Linked DNA regions of Drosophila melanogaster. The protein of the gene in region 3 interacts with the protein of the main gene of each other region in a pairwise test. Each region holds a gene or a part of one and is shown on either strand. Other genes may lie near its edges.

Region 1 (7,142 bases), on a different chromosome or scaffold from region 3:
CTCCACGCCCATTGAGCCCGTGGATGGTGTCACCGTGAAGCGTGGGTGCGGCACCACCCGCAATTCCAATTCGAACGCCCTAAAGCCACCCGTAGCTACTGGTGGAAAACGCAGCAGCTCGTTGTCACGTTCCCTGACACCCAGTAAAACGTCACCTCGAGGTTCTCCCGCCTTCGTCAGGGTAAGTCAAGTGCAAGTCCGCTAATGACTTAACAAATAAAGGGTGGGGATATATTATCATTGCTTTTATTTTCAATATTTTTAGCACAACAAAGAAAACGTAGCCTGATTGCATTCGATGACAGTAGTAGTCTCCCCTTCCCAGTAACCCGTTTATGTTAGTGGATTTCGGATCGCTGTGTTTGTTTGGCTCTTCTGGATATTCATTTTATCTGTATATCAATCTTTGGAATTTCGTACATTTATTATTTAAATAAACTCAGTATGCTATGTAAAGTTAAGGAAATCTTTAGTTCAAGTGCAGGTTTAAGATATATCAGAAGGTATTCTTAAACTTCGATACTATTTTTTAGGGAAGAAGTGAATTTGGTTTTTTAATGATGTCATGCCTTCCAAGGAAGCGCTTTATAATTAATATAATCTTAACTATTTTACTTATCATATTCTCGTTTGTGAATTTAAATTTGTTGAAGTTTTTTTTCATAAAACATTTAAACATATTAAATATCCATCTTTCAAAGTGTGTTCCTTATAATTAGAGCATCCAACATATTTAGGAAAAAACAGATGTCATAACTATCTATCTATCTATTACTAATCCTCATCCTGCTCGTCGTCATCATCCTTAAGAATGCCCAGACGGCGGGCTACCTCCTTCACATTGGCAATGAACTCCTCCTGGACCAGGTTAAAACTCATGGCCAACAAGGCAATGCCGAAAAGAAGGTACAGCGAGCAATAGGCGATGGACTGCTCCGACTCGTCCTTGACTCCTTTCGCGGGGACAAAGTCACCAAATCCTGTAATGCAAAAGCAGATGAAAAGAGTGCGCAAGGAATTGGGATAAACACAAACCGATTGTTGTCAGTGTAATGAAGCAAAAGTAGGCGGAATCCAAGAAGGACCAGTTCTCCCAGTACGCAAAAAGAACAGCTCCGCCAAGGATGTAGCTCACTACCAGAAAGACGCATAACCAAATGGGGACAGGTCGATCCTTGGGCAGCAGATCTCCATAGTCCCCATACTCATCCCCGTACATAGAGTCATCGTCGTCGTAATCGTAGCTGGGTCGCCGACGGATTTGCCGCTGGACCGGAAATCCCATTGGTGACATGATTCTCGGGGAAGGGGGCAAACGTTCAGCCCGCTCTCTTCGGCGATTTCTTTTTGGTTCTCGACTCCTTGAGTGGTGGCGCTCAGGCGGATAATCCTCGTAGTTATTGTCTCCGTAAAGGGATCCCTCATCGAAGCTCTCTTCCACGTAGTCCTCGTAGCGACCCTGGGAGTGACCACGCCTATCCCGTCGATGGTCCCGTCCCGGCGGTGGAGCATCATAGTCGGGAAGTTCGAGATGGTTGCCATAGCGAGATGATTGCCTGCCCAGACTTCCAGCTCGTCTATCATGCTGTTGGCGATAGGAGCTCTGCGGTGGCGGCTGTGGAGATCGTTCCCGTTCTCTGTCCTTCTGGCGTTGCCTTTGGTGAGCAGATCTGGGCATGGATTGACTCCTTGGAGCTGCTTGTCTTCTGTTGCCCCCGAAGTCATCTAAAGCATACCTATTTGGTATAATTGGTGTTTTCCTCACCACGTCCTCGTCGACGTCTTCGTAATGTGAAGAAACGTGCCTGGGATCCACGGACTTGGCCCTACTTCTCCCAGGTGCCGAGTGAAGACGATGCAGTTCTCTGGACGCTTTGGAAGATTCCTGATTGTGTGGCGATCGAACCGATCGCACACTGGCAGCTCTTTTCGCAGGAGGTTGCATGTCACCGAAGTCCTCAATGGATCCAGCATCCAAGTGGGATCGAGAGTAGCGCTCCCTTTCTACCGTGTGTCTGTCCCTCATCCGATCCCGTTGTCTTTGCCGGCTACTGTAGCGGTTGGATCTGTTCAGGGTCTGAGTTTCGTACCCATCTCCGTAAATGGTGTGACGCTGGCGAGGATCGTGATGCAAATGCTGCTGCTGCTGCTGACGACGATTGCGTCCGCCTCCACTGCTCCGATGTCCGAACTCGCGGTCATCGTAGCCCCGGCCCATGGTGCGCAGGTCGGGATCTGAATAGGCATGACCCATGGAAGGACCCAGACCCGAGTCATTCCCAGACCGTTGGGTCATCTTCATGGAGCGCCGGAACGAGGGCGGCGGCTGGGATCGGGCATGGCGCTGAGAGCGCATCGATCTCTGCCGGGATCGGGCATTCCTCGGACGTTTGGCCGTGCGGGTGCACACATAGCAGCATATTCTCCAGTACAGAAACCTATATTGGAATATATGTATGAAAACATACTCATTTAGTTCTCAGCTCATCGATGTCAACTCACCGAAATGATGTGGCCATGACATCGCCAATGTTGGACAAGCAGATGAGCATCAGCGGAATGCCCACAATGGCGTAGAAAATCGTTGTCACCTTGCCCCAATCCGTACGCGGCGATATGTGACCATAGCCTGTCCAGAGAATGACAAGGAACACATAATTACTCTTTCGCAGATAGGTAAGATTGATTTTGAGTCACCTTTCACCTTCAACCTCGTGACCGCAAAGTTCTTGAAATACTAATGAATCTAAGACCCGCTAAGGCCCAATCCCCAATCCATATGTACTTCTTTTTGTTCATGCCAAGCCCATTATCGCTTCGAAATAGCAAACATGGCATTTCAAGTCTGCCGCTTTTGGCCTTTACGGAAGTGTGCAAATTCGTAGATAGCATTCTGTGCCCCTCTTCGCGGGGTTCTATCTGATGGGCGTCGGTCACTAAACCCATTTGTGTGCTAGCCGTAAATCCATATCGGGGAAAAGTGCAGACGAAAAGCGTAAAACTAAGCTCCCATCATCAACAGCCAGAGCTAATAAACTGATTTATACCAAATACTTCCACTCGAAAGCCGAAAAGTTGAATGCTCTAAGTGGGTTAAAGTGAAAAAGGTTTCTGTATACTTTTAAAGTAGGAGAGTTTATAGAGTTCTTGGGGTTTGCTTAAGGCCTTCGATTGAAAACCTTCCATGCACCACTTCCCCTTTTATGAGTAATCACTAATCACCAACACCCCCTGTGTGTTAGGGTATACTAATAATGAGAAATTCCCATCGTTAAAATCTAAAAATCTGAAATGCCAGAAAAGATAATCACGATCGGTCAGTGGCGTTTGACCTTGCTGTTGTTTTGACCACAAACAATTGGATGGCAGCAATCCACTTTTGGTTTCATTTGACACGCTCCACACACCCTCGCTCCCTTTGAAAGCCATCACCACCCGAATGAACCCATTTTTAGAGGTCAACCACGTGCTGGCTGCTCACCTGACTGTGTCCGAGCTGAATCTTTGACTTGTGACTCCCGCCCTGCAAAGGAAGCAAGCATATGTTTTCCAACTCATGGAAATTCCCAGGAATAAGCTTTTAGGTCGATCGGTGGTGGTCAATTACCGTGATTTATGCGATTTCAACGTGATCGCTGTGTGGACAAAACCAATTGTCCGACTCATCCGCTTGCCTCATTGGTTCCTGGGCGGATTGCGGTCTGGTCGCGCTTCAGGTGAATCAACGTGGGCCAAGACTTGGGCCACAGATCTCTGAAGATTTCTGTCTGGCACGATCGTTGATTCATTGGTCGGGCAGCCGCCGAATGCGAATACCTGCGGCTGCCCTCGTCGCTTGACTGAGTTTGTGCGTCGTCATCGCCGCTGATGTCTCTGGCGGTTGTATTTGTTTTTTGGTTCTCGGGTGCGGTTATATAAGTAGTGTGTGCCGGTCGCATTTTCGAACTATTCTGTTGCGGGAGCTTGCCGCGATCAAGCGCAAAAATCGGGTCAGTGTGTAATCGAACAAAGCGTGCCAATCATGCCAAGCTATTGCCTCATCATCGTCCTATGCCTTCTTGGATCAGTGGCGGCTAAGTCTTCGGATGGAGATCGAGATCAGTGGGTCTGGAGGTCCTACAATCGCAGGGAGCGCTCTTTTCGGGACATCAATCGCAGTTCCCCCATAAGGAACTCGTACGACGAAAAGCTGAGGCGGGAGCCCACGACTCGAAGACCTTTTCCGGGCGAACCGGAGAATGATGAGATAGAGGACTATGCCGATGTGGAGCCCACCAGGTCATCGGACACTCCCAACGTAGGCACCCGTCAGTTTAATCCATACGGTGGTCAGACCAATGCCGGACAGTTCGGAGGACTTGGAGGCTATAACGGAAACCCCGGAGTGCTAGTCGGACCTGGCGGACCCACCGGAATCATAGGGAGACCGCAGCTATACCCCACTCCCTATCAGCCAGGCTATGGTGGATTCTCTGGAGCTCAAAATGGCATTAGTGGATATCCAGGCGGATACGGAGGAGTAGGACAGGGACTTCCCGGAGCTGGATTCCCCGGAGCCAGCGTGGGTGGTGGGTTTAACAACTTCCCCAGTAATGGACTTGGCCTCAACCAATTTCCTGGCAATGGGCAATACCCTTACGGCTCCTATCCAGGTGGCGACTTCGGTGGAAGCCAATTCGCGGGCGCAGGTGCCCAGTTCCCAGGATTGGGACAGTACCCAGCAAACCAACAGTTCGGTGGACCTCAGTACACCGAGGGCTATGGTCTGGCAGGAGGACTGGGCTTAGGTCAACTTGGAGTAGGCAACGGTGGACTCGGATACGGTGGAAGTTTTCCACCTCTAGGAGGAGGCTTCGGCTATGACGAGAAATCGCCAGCTGTGGCCGATGGTAAGAGTGCTAAGAGTGTGGCAGCGTCACCCAGAAAAGTGAATGATAAGCTCAGTAAGAAGGTCTAGAGCTTCGTGTTTTAGAAGTGGAAGGTGTTATGTTAAAGATATGGAACTGAAGCTATTACTTTCCCACTCAACCCTCCTTTTTCCCTTAGGCTGAGTTGGAAGTAGTCACCTTAGTGTAGGCATAGTTTACGTATAGACTAAGCAAATAAATTCCCATGTTTACTCACACATGACTTTGAAGAACTCAATCCATAAGCTTAAAAAAAACATACTCACCTATGGTCGTTATCACAATAATCGAGTAGAACAGGGATCCGGCAAAGGTCCACTGGGACTTGCGCAGATCCTCGTCGCCATCCCAGCCGTCGGCCTTGATGGCCGTAAGGATTTGCTTTTCAAAATTGGCCAGGTGCTTGCTGACATTGGCCATCCAATCGCTTTCCCTTAGGACCACTGCGTCGTCGGACAGTAGCCAGATATTCTCCGTGAGATTAACGCGAAGATTCTGTATGTCTCGCTTCACCTGCATGGGGATTTTGGATTTTTAGCATTTGAGACCTTCCAGCAAAATCACCCACTCACCTCTAGTTCGTGGGGTCGTTCGAGATGCTGGAAGAGGTAGGCACCGCCCACGCAATAGGAAACCACGAGAAGCACGAGCAGCACATGGGACACAATGCAGGTGAGCACCTTCCACGAGAAGCAGATGGCAGCTACACAGCGTCCGCGTTGCGGCTTCGCTGGCTCCAACATGTGCGCCGGCAGAGATTGGGCCCGCCTACCCGACATGGTCACCCTCCTCTGGCCTCCTCCTTCCTTTGGCTAATTTGCCGCTCGGTTGGCTGTGAATTATGAAAGGCAAAATAAACTAAATAAAGGATGGGACGAAAATGTTTGGAGGTCGGCCTGGCAAATACCCTTAGAAATTGTAAATTGTTGTTGAGATGAAGAGTTGTTTGAGAGTGCCTCTCCGAAGTAATATATTGTAGTAACCTTAATGGGAATGCTACATAATGTTTAAAATTATGCCTGCGAATAAACACGCCTTCTATGGCGTTCGTTTCAGAAATCGTTGGTAATCTCCAAAGGAGCAATTACCGAGAAGCCAAAAGGTAAACCAGACAAAGCTCCACGGCACATATGTTTATTTGTCCAAATATTTATTTATTTGGGTTGCTGGGGCAAGGCCGAAGAGCCAAGGGGATCAGGTGCGGAAGACTCGACTCCATGAGACTATTTTGGGTGCCGCCGCCCGGCGGGGCATTCATCTCATCGTCAAATCTCGTGCCACGCCTGTCGAGAACTCTGCTGGTTCCTCTTGCTTATAGATGCGGACTACATAACATGTCCGAGCAATTATGAACTTCGATTTCATGTGGGCAATTAGCGCTGGTGAATTATGGGCCCATCGGGATTGGGCATTGGACTGCTGTTAATGATGATTACCGATCGCTGATCGCCTTCTGATTCGCACTGAGGAAAACTTTTCAGTTTTCCACATTAAGTTCCATGCTGTATATTTTGCCCGCACTCTCCCGTCTTCCGTCTAACAATCCGTTTCCGATTCTATATCCGATGGGATCCGTACAGAGAAAAGAAGCACCGATCCGTACGAGCCACAAATTCTTACTGCGGATCGCAGCTACAGATGGACTCTCCACGGATCGCTCGGGAAATTGGGTTTATTTTTGGTCTAACGCGAAGTTCTCTTGTCTTCCGTAGATATATAGTTTTGGAAAAACTTTTATTTTCGGCTTTTCTCTGGTCGTCGTTTGTTTTGTATTGTTTGGCTCTCTCAGTCGTCGCACTTTGTGTTTTGATTATGGTGTCTATCTGATTGAAGGAATCAATTAATCTGCTGCTACAGGTGGTCTAACTGATAAGCAATGCATGGACTTAATCTACAATTTTTAAATGAAAATCATAAACTCGTTAACGTGTAATTGAATATAAAATTAACTATCTTTATTACATGCTGTGCTAAGTTTTCGGCTTGTTTTTTATGCTCTTAGCGCTATGCTTATCACAAATCGACTGGTGTACAACCATTACCTTTGTTACCTTAGATAAGAGCTGCAGCTAAGACTATTTTAAGCAATTTAGCAGGGTTAGGAGGGCTTGACACTTCAGTCCACATTCAATTGCCGGAAGGAGCCCTGCAGACCAAAAAGACTCTCGAAGTCAACAGGCTGACCCACTCGGAGGCTTTCATCGGTTCCGTAGTTCTTCTCCTCCTCCCAGTAAT
Region 2 (7,376 bases), on a different chromosome or scaffold from region 3:
GCAGAAAGAGTTTCGGCCAAACGGGGAGAATGGCAGTGAATGCGATGCGGGAACGGTTGGCCACTTGTCCACTTACATGGCTACTTACAACTCTGCTCAAGCATATGCATGCAGATGACCATGTTGCAGCCACCACCCACCATGCCACATCAGTAGCAGCTGCATAAAAACAAGGTCGAACGGGGGACAGCAGAAAATGTGCACAAAAATGAGGCAACAAAAATAAATAAAAATGAAAGCCGAGCAACAACACAGCAACAGCAACTGCGGCACGCAATTAAGTGCATTTAATTAATTATTGTTGATAAAATAATATTTTTGCAATTTATTGTACAAGCGCCAGTTGGGCGTTCCCGTGTTGGTTGGGTGGCTGGGTGGGTGGGTGGTGACGTCCACCGCCCGTTATTTATGCATATGTGAGCGCAAATAAATAACGGCAACGATGGCGGCTTGAAAAAAAAGGGCTGCTCAAGAAGAATTAGACTAAGAAATACTCAGTACATAATTGCGAGTTAAAAGCCATCATTTTGAAATTGATGTGGGTAGGGTAGAGATTTGATTGACAGTTACTTGAATTATTATTTGTAATTTAAGGATTGAGGAGATACTTTTACCTAAATTTTGAACAGCGTTACATACCTTCAGCCCTTAACATTACAGGGTAACCATTACGTTTGCTGCATCCTCCTGCGTTGACGTTATCAGAACTCTGGCAGTTACTGGCCGCAGACGCAGCGATATCGCTCCATGGCAGGAGCATTGCCTATCGCAGTGGCCAACATCGAAATCGAAACTATGGCAGATCAATTCGAATAACAATAATTTCTTCCGGTCGAATGGCAGCGCCAGAACAATCAGACAGCGGCAGAGATGCAGATATATACGACTGCGAAAGTATCTGCATCTGCAACGGCAATCGCAACTGCAACTGCATTGTTGCTGTTTGCTGCATTTTAAACAGGATGCGCATAAGTATACGAGGATTGACAGGATGTGCGGGCCATGCACACGCATTTTGTTTGCCGCTGACGCTGCCACGCCCACTCCTCCACTGTCATTTTAAATCGTGGGGCGGCATACACATGTTCAATGGGCGGCTCACGCCCCACCCAGCAGCACTAATTTGTATTGTATTCGCTGTTAATGAATTTCATATATTGTATTTATGCGAATGCACTTAATGCGAAAATTATTTGCGTTGACATTGCTGTGGATCGCAGGGGATTTTTAAACGGCTGACGATATTGAGAGACGCGCTTAAAAAAAGCTGGCGATAAAGTGATATTAGATGTTATGATATTAAAACCAGATAATTAAAGTTGTTTTTTTTTCTATGCCTATTTATATTAACGATTTATTTAAATAACCTTTATGTTTTGGTTATGACATTCTTTGTAACCGAAGTATCCGGATCAATGAGTTTTGCTCCATTCCTCACGCTCTTCGCGCTCCTTTTGCACTTCGTTAAGATAGGGCTCCAAGTACTTGATGTCCTCCTCGTACTTGGTCCACTGCTCCTTGGGCAGGATCGTCTTGGTCATGGAAAGGTGCAGTGCTCGAAGAATGCGATAGTTGCGTTCATCGTACAGTTTGCGGGGCAGACGACGCACTGCTTCTGCCACATCCTCATTCTCGTACAGACAGTCATCGCGATACAGGCCGTATTGGTTGAATCCAGACATGTTGTAGGCCCACTTTCCCAACTTGGAGAAAACCGCTGGGCCCACTCTAGCCACATATTTCGACATGATTTAAGATCAAGAATAATTTGGATATGACTACTACAACTATTACCAGTAAGTCCACAAGCTGACAGGTGACTCAGGGCTACACTGGTGAACTAACAAGTATGAGTTTTTAAAATAATAATAAAATAAAATAAAAATTCCCCAACAGGCCTTTCGAAACAAAAATCCCGAATCTCAACTTTCGTTATCTGAAAAATACATAGCATATTAAATGCAATGAAACAACGAAATTTCCGAAACAAATGCCCGAAGAAAAAATGTGGTTTAAATATTGTATCAATGCACTTCTTTAATTTACAAAACTTGCAAAGTTAATTTGGACTGTCATATAATTGAGCGCGGATGTGGACTTCCATAACGCGGAGTTGTCACAAAATGTTTTTGGCAGACGTCAAGTAGATCTTTCCAGCTGTTTTACAGATCAGCATGGTCCGCAAGGACCGAAGCCACAAGGGCCAGGTCCGCAGGGTCCACACGGTCCGCATGGACCACAGCCTGGTCCGAAGGGTCCGCAGGGTCCACAGGGTCCGCAAGGACCGCATCCTGGTCCCCAAGGTCCGCAGGGTCCGCAAGGTCCGCATCCGGGTCCACAGGGTCCACATGGTCCGCATCTGCCCTCAGCCACTGGGTATTGGTTTGTGGAGAAGCAGGGCAGCGGACAGCAGGGTCCTCCAGGAGCACATGGTCCAATGGGGCAGGGTGGGCACGCTGCACTGGGCTTGTAGTTGATGGGTCCATTTGGATAGCAGCAGTACTCCCTCGGCGGCGGAATGTCGATGGTTTGGGGCTTCGGCTGGCAGAGGATCGACTGACACACCTCACGTGGTTCGCAGACGCGCTTGGGATAGCACACCACATAGGGGTCGGGGATCATCGAGGGGTAGTAGATTACTCTGGGTTCTCGCACCATCTGCGACACCCAAATCAGCTTGGGCACCTTGATCACCCGCGTGGCATCAACGACCTTTGGAATGGTGATCTGCCTGCATCGGTTAACCACCATTGGCTCCGGCACAATCTTCTCCGTGAACACAACGCGTTTCTTGCAGATCATGCGTGGTGGTTGCTGCACGGTGATGCATTTGGGGAAGGGTGGTGGAATACGTGGAGCACATTGTGGCAAGGCCTCCAATTGGGCGGCATTGTAGCACTTGGGTGAGCACTCGAAGGGACCGCAGCAGGGATCGCATGGACTACAAGGACCGCACGGAGAGCACATTTTAAGTTTCGACTAGAATAAACCGAAAGAGTAAAAAGTTAATTTTTGTTTTTTGTTTCTTATAAAATTTGATCAGAGAAATTTAGAAGTGTATCGAAGCGAAACCGGATTCAAAATGCGAGCTAAGCCTGAGTAACGAACATAGGTAGATTGACAAGCAGAGGCAAGGCCTACTATTTGACAAAAATTTGGTAGAAAATTTTATCTGGATAGAAACCATTGCATAACCTGTCAAAAGAAATTGAAAAAACCTTATATATGCATAAATCCGATTTTTATTTACAGCCAATGAGTCGTCCATGCGTTGACAAAGTATAGAGAACTGTAGACTTTTTTGGTGGTGTTTGAGCAGAACGGCGAGAATACACTATGGCAATCTGTATTGGTGATAGACAAGTTGGTCCACTGGGCACCGGTTTCTGACAACAATCCAGGCAGCACAACGATGATGTTAACAGGGGCCGCTGGGTCCACAAGGCACTTGAGGACCGCAAGGACCAACTGGGCCGCAGTGGGTATTCCAGGGAGTTGGGGCGCACGGGTAGCAGGGGCCGCACTCGGGTGACTCGTACGGACACGGGGGCGAACAGGGTCCGCAGGGTCCGCAAGGACCGCAAGGACTATTGCCGAGCGGTCCACATGGCCCGCATGGAGCACAGGGTCCACACGGAGCCGGGACAAACGGACCCGACGGCATTGTGAGGCCGCAGGGCCCGCAATTGGGCACGGCGCACGGTCCACCCGGACCGCATCTCGGCCCACAGGGTCCGCACGGGCCGGGTCCGCAGGGACCACATCGCGGACCGCAGGGTCCGCATCCTGGACCGCAAGGTCCACAGGGTCCGCACCTACCCTCGGCAACGGGATACTGGTTTGTGGAGAAGCAGGGCAGCGGACAGCAGGGTCCTCCAGGAGCACATGGTCCAATGGGGCAGGGTGGGCACGCTGCACTGGGCTTGTAGTTGATGGGTCCATTTGGATAGCAGCAGTACTCCCTTGGCGGCGGAATGTCGATGGTCTGTGGCTTCGGCTGGCACAGGATCGACTGACACACCTCCCGGGGTTCGCAGACGCGCTTGGGATAGCACACCACATAGGGATCGGGGATCATCGAGGGGTAGTAGATTACTCTGGGTTCTCGCACCATCTGCGACACCCAAATCAGCTTGGGCACCTTGATCACCCGCGTGGCATCAACGACCTTTGGAATGGTAATCTGTCTGCATCGGTTAACCACCATTGGCTCCGGCACAATCTTCTCCGTGAACACCACGCGTTTCTTGCAGATCATGCGTGGTGGTTGCTGCACGGTGATGCATTTGGGGAAGGGAGGTGGAATACGTGGAGCACATTGTGGCAAGGCCTCCAATTGGGCGGCATTATAGCACTTGGGTGAGCACTCGAAGGGACCGCAGCAGGGATCGCATGGACTACAAGGACCGCACGGAGAGCACATGTTTTCGACTTAAGTTTTCCAAAATAAAATTTCTAGAAAAATATTATACTTTATTTTTGTTACAAATTTTTACTGTTCAATTTGGAAGTTATTCGGAGCGAAACAGGAAACTGAATGAGATATAACAGTAGGACGACAGCATTGCACAATAATCCAGGCCCACTTCGATCGAAATTTGAAAAACCGAGCTCTACGATCACACCCTAGTGTAGTGTTTTTGTTGTGCAGGTAAGGTGAAAATCGCTTTGAGCTTTGAATGGAAATATATGCTTACAATACATAAATCTGGTGGATTCGATTGCTTAACCGATTGCAATGAAAAATCACAGAACGCTGCTTGAATGGAATGCATTTTGCAAACCGGATTCCATCTTCACATGACGTATGCGCGACGTATCTGCATATATTTCAACAATATGGCATCTGCCGTTGAGTGGGTTTAAGCCTTTAATATGCTAGCGCCTTTATGTAGGCAGGCCGCTTTTTTCGGACCGGCCGAAAGCCAACTTGGAAAAAACCTACAACGAATTACAGAAAAACGTCGGAAAACACTCTGGCAGCGCCCGGCCTATTGAATATACATATATGGGTTTGTTTTTGCCCCAGTGCCTGGACATGTCAGCGCCGAAAAAAAAGCGTTTTGGTCGGTATGGTAGTTGGTAGTTGGATGGCATATCCTGAAAGCTTTAGTAGGTGGGGGGGGGGGGGGGTTGCTGGGTGGATGGATGGGCGTTGCAATCGGCGCTTTGTGCATGCCACAGCCATGACGACACTGAACAATTGCGCATTCACAAAAAACTACAACAAAGAGCGTGGTCACAGCGGACCATTGATGTTGACAAAGGCTTTTGCATGCGATTCAGGTGAATTCTAAAATATTTGCTCCATTTTAAATGCCAAAAGCGAGGGGCAAACGCTACAATATGTGCTCGGAATAAGAAACGTTCTGGTATTCAAACAATAAATATAATACGTTTTAATATTTTCTTAATAACACACGACTTTTATTAATTCTACAAAATTTCATTTCCTCGAATTGATAGTCACATTAGTGATAGCTAAGAAATCAAGCGATATTTTAGATGGCCTTTGCTCTTCAGAATTAGTTGCTGTCCAATAGTTCCGGTTATTTAAATTAGGAAATTTAATCAAGTTGCTTCCAGGAAGTTGAGATACAATAAATGTCTAAATTAAACCAATTTAAAGAGCAACATTGGTTCAATCGATTTGAACTCGGGCGTTTCCCAAGAAAACCGTCCACTTCTTTGGCCTGCAATAACACGCCGTTGGCTTATGGTCGTAATCATGCAAGAAAAACATCAACTTCTTGGACTCGAGTTGCCCTGGAGCGCTTATCGAGCGACAGGCTGATGGTGCCCGACCAAGATTCTAGCCACAGACAAAGCGCCTGCTAATCCCACAATTTCCAGAGCCCAAAGAGCCGGCCTAATCACAGACCCACCACTTGGCATCACAGTGCCACCGAAATTGTCAGCTAATAATGCAAACAATAACAGGCAACAGTCCGAAGAAATGGCGCACATTTCGCATAATTATGGACGGGGCCTTCCCCGAAACCCGGTCGAGATGGCCCGGCTAAGGCGGCGCAATTAGCGGACTTAGTTCGGGACTAGGCCCAAAACAATGTTGGGCTGGGAAATGGGAAAATAAGCACAGATTGCCCATAAATTGGCACCCACAATGCCTGCTGGAGTCAAGATAGAGGCGCATTTGTCGAATAATTTAGGCACTGTGTAGAAATGTTTGTAGCTCAATGAAAGGTTTTATTTTTAAGTTGTAGGTATTCCATTTATTTTCATAAATAACTTTAATAGTTCCCAATAAACTGATGGACCTCCTGAAACACACACACATTTAGTTCTTATTGTTTGCTCACATTCTTTGCGGTACTTTGACGTTGATAAGTATTCTGATTTATTGACAAACAAACTGTGAGTGTGCGGGTATTGCGGCGGCCTTTATTTAAATTTATATATTTATTTATGGGCTGCGCACAGCATATATATATTCACAGACATATACGCTGATGGATCGTTGTTCTATCGGAGTCGGGACTTAACCTACTGAAGCGCAGACGTGAATAATATTATTGTATTTTAAATTATTAGCGGTTCGAAATCTTAACTCCATTTATATACATAAATATACATACAAGTTAAATGAGAAATTTAATGACATAACACTTTTAATAAGGTCTGAGAATCAATTCAAATATTTGCCATAATTTTAAATGGGTTAATCATATTTTTCGGCTCCCGCTTTTTTACGCATTTGCTTCGATGCATTTCCGTTTGATTTCAATAATTTTAACTTCCGGCACAAACCGGAAATGACAAATAAAACGCAATGCCATTCAAATACACTGAGAAATAAGAAGTAGCATTTTTTTTAACTTGAATAATTGGTAATATATATTTATACTCTCAAAATTGATGTTAAATGTACGACTTTTAAAAGTGTAATAAAAGTAGGTATGAGTAGGTATTCTTTGGGACAAATAAAAAACATGAACAGTATATTAAAATTCATAGCTGCAGGTAAAATATTTTTTTCACGATTATTTCTACTTTGATGTTTGCTTAACTTTCATCATCTCAGTGGGAAACTGTATGAAAAATCGCATAAATTACGTAATTTTCGAGAAGGCTTGTCTCTGCCAAAATCCGTGAATATAAGTTGTGGACTTTTTTTTTTGACCAGGCAGTAAATTTGCCGGCATATGCATATGGGGAATGACCATGAATTACATAAAAAGCCGCAAATACCGAAGTCAAAATGCGTGGCCTCAACGATTCTGTGTATTGTAAAGCATGCCGATGTGCACGGGAAGGGGGGGAAAGGCATTTGCAGCGCCGTTCCCTTGCAACATGCAAACGATTCAGTCAGTGGCAAACAAGAAAATAAAAATAAAATTCAAATATATATGGCAATC
Region 3 (8,549 bases):
GTACTCACCGGAGTGGAAGCTCTTGTTGTGCTGCGTGAGGTAGCAGTTCTTGGTGAACTCCTTGTCGCACTCCAGACACTTGATCCGTCCCGATGGCAGGGTGGTCGAGTGCGGCGACGTCGATCCGACGCTGCTGTTCCGCCGTCGCTTCGTCGTCGATGGTGTTGCGTTGCCGCCACGCCGCTTCTTGGCCAGCGGCTGTTGGGCCATCGTCTGGGTCTGATCCGCCAGGATCTGTTGCTGCTGCTGGTGGTCCAGTTGCTGCTGGTGCTGCTGCATCTGATCCAACTGCTGGTGCTGCATCTGGTACTGCTCCATCTCATAGTCCTGATGGTGCTGCATCAGCGTGGCCATATCCATCTCCAGTGCGGGAGTCGCCCGCGAGCTGCTCACTGTGGGCGAGTAGGGCGTGGAGAGCACAGTCAGCGTTGGCGTCTGCGCCTCCTGCTGCCCGCCCTGCTGATGGGCATGCAGGGCCGTCGTGAGTGTGTGAACCGGCGGCAGATCGCCCTCCTGCGGCGATCGCTGGGCGGCCACCGAGTACGGCGAGAGCGGTGCATATGGCGCGAACAGGGATGTTGGCATCAGCTGCAGGATCTGGCCATCGCTGGTGGTGATCTGATTGCTATAGCCACCGCCGGCCGTTCCGGTATGCGCCTCCGGGCCACTACCAATAATAGTGTGATAGCTCATTGTGGGGTCCAGCGGCTGCAGCTGCTGGTAGCATTGCGGCGGCGGCGGCATGATGGGCATGTGCATGGTGGGCGGCATGGGCATGGTGCTGGTGATGTGCGGCGGCGGCGGCTGCAGCGGCAGCAGCTGCGGCGCTGTGATGGTGGTGAGCGGCATGGGCATGGTGGGCGGTGGGGAGCTGCTGGTGGGCGAACTGCTGCTGTGCGGCAAACTGTCCGCCAGGATTAACGCCTGCTGCTGCTGCTGCTGCTGATCCAGTTGGTGAAGCTCCCGCTGCTGCTGATGATGATCCGCCTCCTGGCGCTGGTGCTGCTCCCCCAGCTGCTGATGGAGCGGGTGGAGCACCGCCTGGTAGTGGTGCACCAGCTGCTGCTGCGGCGGCTGCATAGTGTCCGGCATACTGGTGGTGATGGTAGTAGCTAGCGGCGTGGTGCTGGTGCTGCTGCACTGCAGCATATTGCTGTGCATGAGCGTGGGCATGGGCATGGGCATATCCAAAGCCAGCATGTTGTAGTCCATTGCCATAGGCGGCAGCATTCCCATAGGCGGCAGCGGCTGCGGCGGCGGGGTGGTGCGCGAGAAATCCGTTCCCTGCTGCTCCTGCCGGTAGATAGTATGGGGCGAGTTGCTGCTGGGCGTGCTGGGATTGGTGTTGCTGCTGCTGAGCGTGTTGGGCGTGCTGCTGTGGTAATGACGCGCCGACAGCAGATACTGCTGCGACGCCTGTTGATGCTGATGCAGGTGATCGTCCGCCTGCTCCTGATCCCGCAGCTCCTGCTCCTCCGCCTCCTCCGTGGCCATTGAGCTGCTGCTGCTGCTGCTGTGGCTCCTGTCCTGGCTGTGACTGTGATTGGGATGCGTGTGTGTGTGGGTGTGAGTGTGGTTGCTGTCCTCCATTTGCTCGCTCTTTATAGCTACCGTGGTGGCCGCCGTTGTTGTTGTTGTTGCTGTTGTTGTGATTTGTGGTGCTCGGGTTGTTGTTGTTGGTGGCGGCGTGGTTGTTGTTTCGTTCAGCAGGCCCCTCATTTGGGAGGACGGCATTTGGGTGGTGTTGTTGTTGTGTGGGGCGGAGGGACCTGCTAGCCCGTTTGGGTGACCGTTCAAAACGGAGTTGTGGTGCTGCGGCATCTGCTGCTGATGGTGCTGCTGCTGTTGTTGCTGCTGCTGCTGGTTGTTGCTGTTGTTGTTGGAAGCGTGCTGTGGTGAAGCGTTTGTCGTGGATTGCACTTGTTGCTGCATGTAGCCATAGCCGTTGGCGGTGCCATTAGCATAGCCGTTGGCCTGCTGCTGATGGTGGTTGAGGTGGTGCTGCTGCTGCTGTGTGGGCGAGGGTGAGGCCGAGTACTGGGACATGGCAGCGCCGCCCATCGCTCCCACGCCCAAGCCGCCTCCTCCGCCATAATCGGGCGGACTTCTAGGCGGCTCCGGGGGTGGCACATTGGCCGGCGGCGGCGGTATCGGCGGCTGTTGCTGCTGACCCTGACCGCTGGCCGAGGCGGCAGCTGCAGCGGCGGCCGCAGCGGCTGCGGCATTGCCCCTGCGACTGGGCTTCGTCACCGGGTCGCGGGCGGGATGGTGGTGCGCCGAGATGGGCAGGGTGGCTGGATCCGGCTGGCCGCTCGACTTAACCGCATTCTTGTGCAGCGTCGTATTGTAGTGGCGCTTAAGATGGCCCGAGCTGGTGAACCACTTGTTGCAGGCCGTGCAGTTGTACGTTTTCGGACGGCGCGCCTCGTTCGACTTCCAGGTGGCCGCCTTGGCCGTCAGGCTGTTGGCCGGCAGCACGGAGCTCGAGCTGGGTGGCTCGAAACCGCGGTATCCACCTCCTGGCGCCGCACCCGCCGCTCCCTCCTGCCCTGGTCCGCCCGTAGTGGTGCTGGGGAACTCCGCCGGACTGGTGGCCACGCTGGCGCACAGTTCCGCGCCACCAGCTCCGCCAGCTGTGGGATCGAAGGACTTGTCCACGTAATGCTGCGAATCGGGATACTCGGACTTGATCAGTCCGTGGCCGCCGTACTCCTGCTTGATCAGCGTGGCTCCGCCAACGCCGGTTGACTGATGATAGGGTGACTGCTTTGGTGAGTAGTAGGGCGACTTGTCCACACCGACTCCCAGCCCCACGCCCAATCCCTGCTGCATGTAGGGTGGCAGGCCCTCCACGGAGGCCACCGTCTGCTGTGGCTGCTGCTCCCAGCTGTGGAGTGCGCGCTGCTGCATAGATTGCATCGAGTGCAGCGGATCCGGCAGAGCGCCCAGCGGCAGTCCAGCGACCACGTCGTGTTGCTGTTGTTGCTGCTGGAGCAGCTGCTGGTGATAGACCATCTTCTGGGAATCTAGGTCGAGTAATTCGCCGGGATTGGCCGTTGCGGATCCAACGCCGGGTGGCTGTGGTGTGGGCATCTCCTCCTTGATGTACGGTGAACTGGCGTAACCGCTGCTGCCGTACGGCGACTCTCCGTGCACGTTGGCGATGTGCTCCTGTAGCTCCGACTCGTTGGTGGTGAGGATGCCGCACTTCTTGCACTGCAACTTGCATCCGGCACTTCCGGCGGCTCCGCCTGGTGAGCCTGGTGTCTGGCCACTGGAGCTGCCCAGCTGCAGGTGCGAGGACGTCGACGTTGGACTGCTGCTGCTAACCACACGCGGACTCATGGCCACCGCTGTGGTGGTGCTGACCGCGCTGGGCGCACTGCCCGCCTCCTCCTGTGCCGAGCTGGCCGTTGGAATGCCTCCCAGTCCGGAGGTTGGCGTCTGCAGGTAGGGATGATAGCGAACACCGGCGCTCTTGCCATAGTCAACGCCCACGGTGCCAAAGGCGTAATCAGTGCCCTGCTGCTGCTGCTGTTGCTGCTGGTAGAACTGCTCGTAGCTGTTGATGTAGCTGCTGGCGTAACCCTGCTGCTGCTGCATGTCCCCGCCGTAGAGTCCGCCGTAGATCTGCTGCTGTTGTTGCTGCTGTCCGCCAGATGCGGAGTACATGTGGTGGGTGGCGTACGGCTGGTGGGTGATACCCGTTACCTGCTGCTGCTGTTGCTGCTGCTGGGGATCTCCTCCACCCATGGCCTGCTGCTGCTGCTGTTGCGATTGTGGCTGCTGCAACTGTTGCTGCGTCGATTGCTGCTGTTGCGTGGGCTGCGGCGTGCCGGGTTGATTATCACTGGAGTCGGCGGCGGCGCTAATTGTGGCATTGGGTGTGGCGGGCGCACTGCCTACGCCTCCCGTTCCTCCCGCTCCTGGTCCGCCCGATCCTCCTCCACCTCCTCCTCCTCCTCCTCCTGCTCCTCCCCCACCACTGTCTGTAGCACTGCTGGAGGCGAGCGCCTCTGCCGCGTGCAGGGGCGGCATCTCGGTCTTAATGCTCGTCATGGACCGCTACATAAGTCGATGCTTGGTGGCTGCTCGGTGTTTCGCTTCTCATGTCTCGAGCTCTCCGGGATCAGTGGTGCATCCTCTGCTCCTGCTGCTACGCTGCTTGCTTTTCGTTGGCTCTGCTGAGCCGATCGTTTTTGTTTTGGGTTTTTATGTTATATGCTCTCGTTTCGTTTTATTTTTTTGTGATTTTTTGTTTTTTTGTGCTTTGTATTTGTACTGAAAATAAGCCAATTATTGTTTAAGCCATTATTAGTTTGAAGTTACTTGAGTTGCAAACGGAAAAAAAACAAACACATGCACACTGTGTTTTCAAAGCTTTTGGTGTCTAACGGTTCTTGGTGTCCATTTCACTTCGATGCGAAATTGCAGGCACTTTTGTAATTTGATTTGTATGGTGGAAATACAATAGCTTTTACTTGCGAACGTAATGTCAACTGCAATTGTTTGTGGAGAGCACACATGGACGCTCACGACGCACACTAACACACACACTCGAAAAAAATATATACATGAAGGATCCTCGATGAAGATCCCTTTTCCGTTCTCTTTTGCTTTTCTTACTTATCTGCGCCTCGCTTTGGGCACTTCTTCGTTGGACTTGGACTTCTGCTTCGCTCCTTCTTCTTCTGCTCCGCTCCTCCTCCTTCTTCTCTTTCACCGCTCCTCTTCGGCGAAACGAAAGACACACAACAGCAGACTCGATAAATAATACGAAACTGAACTGAACTGAACTGAAGAAACCAATATCGGAACCGCAACGAATGCTGGTCAATTTTGAATTTCGAATTTTGTTTTTGCGAATTGCGAGGGAAGCGAGAATGGCGATGCGATGTGATCACACTCTCCCTATCTCTCTCTCTCTCTCTTTCTTGCTCTCTCTCGCCACTTTTTTTTTTACCGGTGATTTAGAGTTTTTCGGTTTGGGTTCGCTTTTCGCTTCGCCCTTTTCCAAAAGATCACTGGAATTCGCGTTTATCGTTTATCGGGGATCGGATCGAACAGAAAAAAATTGTTTACGAACACAAGTATTGCATCGGAATTAAATTTGTTGTTGATTCCCGAGCCGCGATTAGTTCGTTTAGTTTGTTTTTCAATTGGTTTGCCGAAAAGTTGTTGCCAAAAATGTTGCGTTTTGTGAGTGGGGAAAATGAAACAAAAAAGGGCGCTAAAAGTAGCCGCTCCACTCCGTTCGCACGCTTCGTCGCTTTTTCACCCGTGTCCTTCTGTCTGCTACGGCGTTCCAAATACAAATGACCGACAAATACACCGCCGTGCATGCGGCACATTCGTTCTACCCGTTCTGCCGGCAGCGACGCCGGCTGCGACTGTGGCTGCGGCGTCGCAGTCGACGCACATGCGTGGCTGTGTGTGTGTGTGCGCTATATACACTGCGCGGCGGCGTTTCGGTTATGTGCGTGCTGTCTCTGTCGCGCACGGCTGCCGTCAACGCCGCTGCATTTGATTTTGCTTTGCTTTTGGTTTTGCCTTTGCTTTGCGCTGCCTTTACTTTGCAATACCCTTTGCATTGAGAGTACCACAAGTTAGCTCGGAATCAAGATAAAGTATCCCATGCATAATTAGCATTAGTTGAGACCTAAGTTTTGCAATCTGTTTAGATCGAACTAATAAATCCTCTCGAAGACATGTACATAAACGATTAGTCGCAATTTGAATGCTTATATTTTTATGCCTTGAATGGCATTATTAGTGAAAACTGATGTTTAATATACATATATACATATGTTTTATAATGCACACATATATACATACGTTTTATAATGCACACAAATTTGAATCCTTTTTTGCAAGCCATCACAATTTTCCACAGAAAATTGCTGAACGGTTATAAAAAAGTAATTTAAGTAAGGTCATTGATAACCGGTTTTGCACTTAACAATCCGTAGAATTTGGATGGATCGCAATTGTAAAGTGTATTTGTAATAATACACAACTTCTGCATTGCCTTTCTAGCAGCAAATCAATAGCTTTGATCGTGTTAAAATGATTTTCCACTGTTTATTTATGAAATTATTTCGCTGTATTTGCGTTTCTGGATATATACAGCGAACTGCATATATTTAAGCCGCCCTAGGCACTAAAAATTTTATATGAAATTGTTTTCTTTAGGATGGTTGGATTTCGAAATGTTTATTCCGATCTCTAGCTTAAAACTCTGGCAGTTCGTAGAAGTCATCTACGCTATGAAGAACTTACCATATAAATAAATGTTTATGTACTCTATTGTAATAGCAAAATTTAGCTTAAGTGGCGATAATGTGGATTTTTCAAGAACACAGCGAAGATTGGTTGGCCCTTTTGTGTGATCCACCGATTACCATATCGCAACTCGCCTAATTTAAAGCTGTGTTGCAGTTCTAGGCTTGGTTGCTCAGTTGTGCCCGTTTTTTTTTTTTTAGCCTTGGTACGAACGGCGGCTTATTAATAGACTCCTCGAAGCGTCTTAGTCAGATGTTGACTCACTGGACCGGGCCAAAACCAATTCGCACTACTAGCCTAGTTTCTGAGCGACCGGCAACCGACGATTATCGACGTCACGGGCCTCGTAAAAGTTGAGAACGTTCAAAAAATTAATAAACCAAACTTTTATTGCGTTGGGCATACGGGAGTGCAGAGCTGAGAGACAACGAAAGCTAATCTACATTTAAAAAGAAAGGAAAAAATCGTAAGCTAGGACTAACGGATACCCTGTTATCAGATTCTGTCATAAGATCATAAGCTCACTAGAGAAACTTTTTTAAATAGAAGACTAGAAGAAGACTAAGCATGTAAGTAAGTATGCATAAGTATGTATGTACATATATATTCCAAAGATGCAGGCGATCTTTCGTCTTTCGAATGGGTATGCTTTTTCCAATCTACGATTAAGGGGTATAAATAGCGACAGAAAGGGTTTGAATCTGTTGGTAACTATGGGGTTTCAAGTTGTTTTAGGTTTTATTTTTTTTTTTTTTTTTTGCTGGGCAACTGGAGCTGGGAATCAAGCTCAGCTGAGAATGGCCCAAAAGTATTTAAAAATTTCGTAAGAGAAAAGGCGAGGGCTAATGGAGCCCAGATACGAGTACCTCCATCGCAGCCACACAGATACGAACTCCACTGTGCGGCTGTGTGCGTGGGGCCTTGAGGAAGAGTTTAGATTGGAGTAGGGCCGGAGGAGGGAGCGAGAGAAGGCGAGAGTGAGGCGGCGGAGAAGAGTGCGACAGAGAGGCCTGAAATTTACATACATGATTGTCATAAAAAATCAGCAAGCAAATTGTCAAATCCCTAAACTGACAATAAAACAATAAAGCAAACGACGAAGACGAAGACGCGGGCGAGACGGACGACGAATGTGGGTGGAAGTGTGGAGAAGAAGGCGAAGAAGAAGGAGGAGGAGGAGGAGGATGGGGCAATGCGAGGGAGGGAGAAAACGATTGGCGAGTTGAGTGATTGGCAGTGAAAACCGGCTGCAAATCCCGAGATCTGATATTCCACATATGTATATGTATGTACATATCTCACGGATAGTTAAACTCCGTTAGGAGATATCTATGAAACCAATTTGTTGGTTAAAAATATATTTTTATTCAGTATATTTAGTATACATTCATACACTTATGTATATCGTCACTATTCGACGATCTGCTGTACATTTTCTTTGTATTTCTTTGATTGCACAGTTTATTTAGTGATTAAAAAATGTATTAAGCCTAGTTAAAAAAGCCTACTAACCATTTCTTAATTATCATTAATTTAATATTGAGATAAACCCCACAATTTCCATTGATTCCCTAATCGGTAATTAACTTATATATGCATATGTTCATACTTATGTACATATGTACATATGTTATAGAGAATTATGGACATGTAGAAATTGTTAGCATATGTTGCCTGCGGTGGCAGGTGGCAAAATGGCTGGAGGGGAGAGCATTGCTGCAAAAGCTGATGCAACTGTTGCAGCTGATGCAGTCGACTGCAATGGGATTAGCCCATTTTATGGCGCATTTATGGGCACGCAACAGTTGACCTGCAGTGGCAAAAGTTGCAGAACTTCCAGGCAGGTCATCTGCCCCTCCAGGTCTGCAGATACAGATACATGGTAGCAATTAATTATACCCTGTAATCGGATGTAATAACCACGAAGTACCAGAAAGCGACACTTGTCACATAACCTTGGAGTGGGTTAGATATTTTTCTATACATTGAAGTTTAATCCTTTGAAATGAGAAATATAGTGAGAGATCGTCTTCAATCATGTTTCACAATTATCGTTATATTTTGTAGCATATTACGTCGTATCACAGTGACGATTACATTACCAACTTAATTAATTAAAAATAATAATGCTCATAGTATTTTCTTAGTCTGGTGCCTCATCACGTTGAAATAACGTTAGAAAAGAGCGTAGAGTACCTGAATTTTGACCTACCACCTGCGGAATAGGATTTGCCATCCCTGCCACTTGAGCAATTCTACGCAGAGTC

The links. Proteins that work in one complex are often made in the same cells at the same time.
Region 1: the proteins of zld (region 3) and CG9192 interact in a two-hybrid assay, tested with the Drosophila melanogaster proteins (one large-scale study listed by BioGRID).
Region 2: the proteins of zld (region 3) and Mst98Cb interact in a two-hybrid assay, tested with the Drosophila melanogaster proteins (one large-scale study listed by BioGRID).

Annotation. Positions count from the first base shown.
Region 1 is NT_037436.4:1,235,115-1,242,256, reverse strand, and holds CG9192 (uncharacterized protein), read left to right. Parts: upstream 1-3,937; 5' UTR 3,938-4,021; coding exon 4,022-4,957; 3' UTR 4,958-5,124; downstream 5,125-7,142. Other genes in the region: Klp61F (Kinesin-like protein at 61F), read left to right, coding at 1-181, 266-289; galene, read right to left, coding at 775-980, 1,036-2,438, 2,503-2,629, 5,174-5,420, 5,480-5,686; CG33966 (uncharacterized protein), read right to left, coding at 7,024-7,142.
Region 2 is NT_033777.3:28,288,506-28,295,881, reverse strand, and holds Mst98Cb (Male-specific RNA 98Cb), read right to left. Parts: upstream 3,085-7,376; 5' UTR 2,968-3,084; coding exon 2,170-2,967; 3' UTR 2,019-2,169; downstream 1-2,018. Other genes in the region: UQCR-14L (Ubiquinol-cytochrome c reductase 14 kDa subunit-like), read right to left, coding at 1,413-1,748; Mst98Ca (Male-specific RNA 98Ca), read right to left, coding at 3,419-4,423.
Region 3 is NC_004354.4:19,778,228-19,786,776, forward strand, and holds the start of zld (zelda), read right to left. Parts: upstream 5,322-8,549; 5' UTR 4,627-5,321; exon of another isoform or gene 4,282-4,626; 5' UTR 4,060-4,281; coding exon 1-4,059. UniProt on the Drosophila melanogaster protein: Transcription factor required for zygotic genome activation (ZGA), a critical event in early embryonic development during which the developmental control passes from maternally provided mRNAs to the expression of the zygotic genome after fertilization.